Danio rerio: one gene and its partner. The protein of the gene in region 2 purifies or fractionates together with the protein of the main gene of each other region. This does not show direct contact. Links are inferred from orthologs where the notes say so. Each region holds a gene or a part of one and is shown on either strand. Other genes may lie near its edges. The genes, in order: ttc1 and limk2.

The links.
Region 1: the proteins of limk2 (region 2) and ttc1 purify together in Homo sapiens (affinity purification with mass spectrometry; 3 studies listed by BioGRID and IntAct, counting the BioPlex papers as one, with this or other methods). This does not show direct contact. The link is inferred for Danio rerio from reciprocal best matches to the Homo sapiens genes LIMK2 and TTC1.

Annotation. Positions count from the first base shown.
Region 1 is NC_133196.1:32,670,209-32,673,117, reverse strand, and holds the end of ttc1 (tetratricopeptide repeat protein 1), read right to left. Parts: intron 1,319-2,909; coding exon 1,182-1,318; 3' UTR 543-1,181; downstream 1-542.
Region 2 is NC_133180.1:21,574,092-21,577,931, reverse strand, and holds part of limk2 (LIM domain kinase 2), read right to left. Parts: intron 3,486-3,840; coding exon 3,376-3,485; intron 2,345-3,375; coding exon 2,153-2,344; intron 1,781-2,152; coding exon 1,675-1,780; intron 1-1,674. UniProt on the Homo sapiens protein: Serine/threonine-protein kinase that plays an essential role in the regulation of actin filament dynamics. Acts downstream of several Rho family GTPase signal transduction pathways.

The DNA of each region.
Region 1 (2,909 bases), on a different chromosome or scaffold from region 2:
CCCAAGCCGGTTCCTAAAGGCACACCAACAGTACAGATTTTCATCAGCTCCCAAATCAAACACACCTGAATTAACTCATCAGAACAGTCCCCAATACCTAATGTTAATAGGTCAGATAAGGGAGACGTCCAAAATATGCTCTGCTGATGTGCCTCCAGAAACAGGGTTGGGGAAACACTGCACTTTATCAGATTGTCAGCCATAGGGGGCGCCGTTCATTGCACATACTCAACCCGAGGCCTGTAAAAAGGGAATATTTTCACTCTTGCTGTTGTACATAGATGCGTTTCAGTACAATCGGACAGCTCCTCTGACTATACATATGAAGATGGTGGTCGTGGGTGTAAAATTGTTTTATTGTATTAAATGTGTATCTCTTTATGAAATTAAACCTGATTTTTTTGGGCCTTGTACTAATCTGTGTGGTATATTCTTTTTAGAACTCTGAACGCAAACCAAAAAGAGACACAACACTTTAAATGTGATCTGTCATTTTAATTAGTGTTGTCTATATATAAACAAAAACAACAACAGACGGAATGTTAAATAACAGCTGGTTTAATGTGAACGCAGGTGAGTTTGAATACTGCAGGTCACGAGGTTTGGATGGAGAGATGAAGGCCGTTATTCTCACTGCTCAGTTTCACAGCAAACGAAACACTCTGGCATGCCGAAAATCAAAAGCCACTTGACATGAGTTGATGAATGTATTTGGTCTATTCCAATGAAAACAGCTTGGGTTACTATTCTGTGACGACTTATTCTGCTAACATGGATGAATGAGTTGGTTTAAAGGGATCGTTCACTCAAAATGTCAATTAAATTCTGTCAATTTACGCACCCTTTACTTGTTCTATAACTGTTTGAGTTTCTGCAGTTGAAAACAAAATGAGATATTTTGAAGAAAGCTAAAAACCTGGAACCATTGACTTCCATAGTATTTGTTTTCTGTCTATGGCAGTTGGTTACAGGTTTTCAGCACATATTATATTCAAAACTAATTTGTGTGTGTTTGTGTGTGTGTTCGACAATAAAGCAACTCATAATGGTTTAAAAACTCTTGAAGGGGGGTAAATTCGAATTTTTGAGTGAACTATACCTTTAAACATGGAGTATGACTAGATAGTTTTACAAATACTTGAAAGGGGCAGTTTATTACTAGAATAAAAGACTTCAGATTGTTATCTGTTGTTGTTATTGGGATTCTGCACAAAATTAATGGAGTAGGATCCTGTGTTGGTGTCTTGGTTGACCTGGAAGTTGGAGGTTGAGAGACCAAAGGGTCGTAAAATCATGTTGCCCAAGTCCTTCAACTTGCCTGAGGAGAAAAAGAGAAAACTAATAAAGTACCAGACAATAATAATAAAAAAAGACTACTTTAACCAGTAATAGAAAAATGCATAAGGTCAATGAGTAACCAGGTAAATGTCTGTTCATCCCATGAAAATGCAATAAATATATTTTATGGAAATTAATGGAGTATTAGGGTGTTTTCACACCTGCATTATTTAGTTCGCTTGAATCGCACTAGAGTTCGTTTTCCCTCTTGGTGCGGTCGTTTGGGCAGGTGTGAATGTAGCAAAAGTGCAGACCAAAAAATCATACCGAGACCCTCCTTGAAGAGGTGGTTTCGTTGTGCTTTTAAATGAATCTTGGAGCAGTTAGTTTGTGGTGAAAACATGATCCAAACTAAAACAGACCTGACTGCAAAAAGTACTGCGCCTTATTAGACTAATCCAGCTGCTGTAGTCTGATGCGTTGTCTCATCTTATGGGGTGTGGAGGTAAAATATTTCATGACAGCTTTTAATCAACAATTTTAAACAGAGAGAGAGAATGAGACAGAGAGAGAGGGAAAAATATCTGATGGATCGCTGGTAATATTTCGGGAAGATGACCATGCCATGTGAAAGCATTATGTGAGCAAAATAGAAACGGACTTTTAATTGAGAAGCCTTAAAAGATGTTGTGAGTTTCAAGCTTTAAAAATGATAACAATGTCATTCTTTATTTGATTATCATTCGTAATGCTTCATGGGACTGATTTATTTCCCGACAATAAATCTGCAGTCATTTCTGTCTTTTTTAGTCTGAAAGACTGTTTTAGATTTCAAATATGACTTATGCAACCATTAAAAAAATCCAAGGTTCTTTGGTTTGAAAGGTCTCTTTGAAAGAAACCAATTAATGGACCTGACAAGAACTTTCTAACAGCAAAACCCTTCATGAAACAGGTTGCATTTTTCCAGACAACCTTCAAAATGAATACCGCACTAAAAACACTGATAACATCACACTAAATATCAGCACTCTCAGCCATAAGAGTGTTGCCGAACTGTAGAACATTCATATTTACACTTATTTTTGTGAGGTTTTACATATTTATGTTCTGAACATGTAATAAGCTCAGGATGCAAAAGTTAACAAACGATTAATGCTTGTTTTCTGATAAATCAATTACAAGATCAACCATATCTTAAAGCCATGAGATGAGTGATGGTCTGCAGATACAGCAGAGACCAAAAGTGTGCATAAATCTGCAAAATGGTTAATAATTTAAATTTAGAATTCAATTGATTTATTCATGCAATCAAAATGCATCACTGTTAGTTTGAATCCATTTACTAATGAGCCATGTTTATCATTTAATTTGGTTGGAACATTTGTTTACTCTGAAGATGCATATGTGATAAAGCAATGTTGTTCTAGCTGTACTTTTTTGCAGCGTATGTCAATGTTGTGATAATACCATATAACGAGATAAAAGCTTCAGCAATTCAAATAAGTCTGTTCTCCACTAGGGGTGGTATGGGTCACATATTCGTATCGAACCGTTCCGGTACAGGACCTATGGTTTGGTGTACAACCAACCACCTTGTAACCAATCAATAAATTGTAAAAAACACAAAA
Region 2 (3,840 bases):
TACTATGAACACAGAATTTAAGGTTAGGCAATACAGAGGAACAATACAATGTATTTAAGATTCAGTATTATCAGGCAGATGAATCTGGGTATCCAGTAATGAAGAGATCAAACATCTTTCAGTAATTGTGCACGATTTAATTTTAGGACTTTTTATTTTTCAGCATTTTCCATTTTTAGGATTACGGGACTTCAGGCTGCTCATTACAGCGGGCAGACTGCTGCCAAAGAAAGTCAGTCCAAACCTCTATGTATGTGATTAAATTAAAGCACAAATCCCTGAAAGAAACAGTGAAGTGAAGGAGCGGAATTCAGATGTTAAGGAGTAATGGTGGGAAAATGAAGTCACATTTACAAATGCACGATGAGAATGCTAAGCATTTACACAGAAGTTGACAAGTCACTTCAGTACAAAAGTATACATGTGCACACCTCCCAGCACAGGTATGCATTACAACGTTAAACTTATGCTTGAGTATACGGATAACCCGATACAATGTTTTTAGAAACAAACATTGGCCAAAAAAAGATACTGGTCTGATATCAGTTTTAATTGTAACGTTTTAAAGTTTTTATACTTAAGATAATCTGAGGATTAGAAACAAAGAGTTTGGTTTGGTTTTGGTAAAACATTAGATAAAATTGTTTATGAAAAGCAATGAGAGAATATGACATTTTGGAGTCAGTCAACGTGCAGCTCTCCAGTACCTGCTGCCGCTTTGAAAAATTCAGAGCACAAAGGGAAGCCATCAATGATTTGTTGATCTTTGCAACATATTGAGTCTTTTCTTTTTAACTTCAGTTACTGTGTGCATAAAAAGCAGATCATAGTGTTCCATACTACTGCAGTGCTGCGATCTAGACACAGACACACAGGAGAATGTGACATGATTTAGAAAGAGCAAGTTGAAATAAATTCCTTAAATGCAAAACTATATGCATCCATCCAATGATCATTAGATATAATAATGGGAACAAATCATCTTGTTTACATTTGATTTGATTACAATGATCTGCAAGCTCAGCGGAGGGAAGAGCTGATGGGAAATTGAATTTAACCACTAGAATATTCCTTGTACCTCACATGAACTATCAGATTACTTCATGAATGGTACATTATAATTTCTTTATACGTATGTTACATAATCAATTATACATTATATATAAATTCTTTATGCGTATGTTACAATATTACAGAATAATATATGACACCCGATATGGCAAAAGAAAATGTGGTATCAAAGCTGAAATCGGATCGAAGTATCAGCTCGGAGCATCCCTACTTGACTACTTAATATTATTCATACTAAAACTATATATGTATTGCTTTCGTAGCCTTAACACGCCTAACTTCAATTTGACAAAACATGAAGCATGTCAACGAAGTTAGCAACGTGTCATATGGCTTATACTAAAAAAAACACATCAAAGTCATCTAACAAACACAGCCTGTTCTAGGGAGTATTGTAAAGTCAGAGCACGACCCAAACGCAATTACCCCGGTATGAAAGGAGTGTCACTGTATGTGCTGGGACAAGCAATGGTATGAGTTTATAGTTTATAAACGTTTACCATGCCGTTCCTCAGTATAATCATACTGCTTCAACACGTACCCACGAGCACAATTTCACCGTACATAAAAAGAAACTAAAGTTGTGGTTAAAAGGGAAAGTACCTCTTCCTCTATCAGGGATGTCACTGGGAGTCCATTGATCTCCAGGATTCGGTCCCCAACATGGATGGCATTCCGAACCTCAGGACTAATATGCATCCCTCTGACCCTGTAAGGATAAGATTTTGGGAGATTTGCATTGTAAGAAGACTGGTCAAGAATGAAGAGATAAATGTTATCGCTTTTTTACTATGATTTCGGTTTTAGTAAACACAAAAACAGTGCCATGTTAGGGCCCTCAATCTAAAACGAGCAGTCGTATCACCACAGTTATGCAACACATTCCATGTGGCATTAACAGTGTCTCTGGCATGGGGTGTGGTGGCATTGTAGTGAATCTTTGAGGTGATAAATAACTTCAGCAAGAATTTATTCCAAGAGTTTTTTCAGTAACATGACTGCTAGCCAAACCAGGACTCAAATCAAGATCTTAAGCAAGGCATCAAGTGTTTTCATGTTGATTCTTAATGTCTTCACTTACTCTTTAACCTGGACGCTGGCAATGGCACTGGTGCAGTCTCTAATCACGCTGACAGAGAAGCCTCTTTTGCCATTGGTGGCAGCAGGCATGGACACCAGAGTCACTGTGTGAGGGAGCAGGTCTGATGGAGAGTCAGCCAAACCCCGCTTCTCCAACACTGGTGTCAGGACCACCTGCTTGTAGCATTTACCACTGGACGTAGGAAAAATAAAAGAGAGAAATAGTGAGAAGTTGATGAGCCTCTCAGAAGATTTCAGGACAAGACCTGACAAGTGCAAGACATGTTATGAAACTCTCTGATGTGCGCCAACTTGCCTGTGCTTTTACTGGAAACAACAAACGAAGATATACAACAGATTATGAACTAAAGCATTATGATTATGAAATTTGTAAAAACTTTATCTGTATGGTCCAGATCTAACATTCACAAATACATACACACACATACAAGCTTCGATTTACTTTTAAAGATGTTTCAAACAAATGATTTTCATGGGTAGTCTGCAATTAATATGTGATTGTGTTTTCAAATTTGTATAATTTTAGTTTAAACTGTGTTATTTTTATTTTCTTTAATGGAAGGTTCCACTTATCGTTAAAAAATAATAACAAACAAATACATTTACCTAATTACCTACATTATCTGACTGACCAAGTGCTGGAAAAATGTGCCCAGTGCAGTTTCATTCAAAAGTTCACACAAGTGTCATACAATATTTCATGTAACACGTCAAGATTTAATAAAAGTACAGATTTGCTGCTTATTAATAGGTGGTGAGATTGATGGGTTCAGGTATTGGGTAGGATTAGGCATGTAGAATAAGATTATGCTTTATAAAGTACTAATAAACAGACAACATCTAAATTAAAAACAGGTAATATGTTACTAGTTACTTAAATTTTTACTTAAACTACAGTGTTTTCGAATTATTATTATTATTTTTTTCAAATTATCTTACAAAAACCCTCTTCTCTGCAATGTTATCCTGTTGAGCCTTATAAATGGTACCTGAGGCAGTAGCTACATAAGGAGATGGAGTACTTAATAAAAATCAGTGATCCTAGTATTTTAAACTAGGACATATTTACATTTTTTTAGTGATTTGTCAGGATACACCTCTCAAAACTGGGACATCTGGTCACCCTAGCTAAGATATCAACACAGAGGAATCATCACTACAATTAGTACGGCACACAGAATGGAGGACTATAAAGTAACTTACCAGTAAAGTTTTGTACGTTCCACTAAGGCATAGGTGTCTCTATCTTCAATCACCACCCTGCAGCTCAAACACACAAAGCATTCGGGGTGGTATTTATAGTCTCCTGCCACCTGAAACATACGAATACCCCCGTTCAGATTAGATCACGGCTGCACAGTCTGACGACTTCACTTCAAAAGCCCACACTGGACATCCCAAAAGAAAATCCTCAGTGCCAGGAACCCCAGCCTTGATCGATATCCAAGAAAGTCTTTCTGGAATTCTCCTGTGCACTCTTGGTGCTATCTCTGCCAAGCCCAGGCGTGGTGGATCATGCTTTCATTGTGCTTCATCTGCTTTGTGTCGATGTACTGTCTTGGTTGAGTCTGCGTTCCTTGGCAGTGACGTGGGTGTGTGTTGTCTTTTTCTGTAACACCTGCAAGTGTCTGGGCCTGCCTGTTATCTGAAGTGACATACAGCCACCGC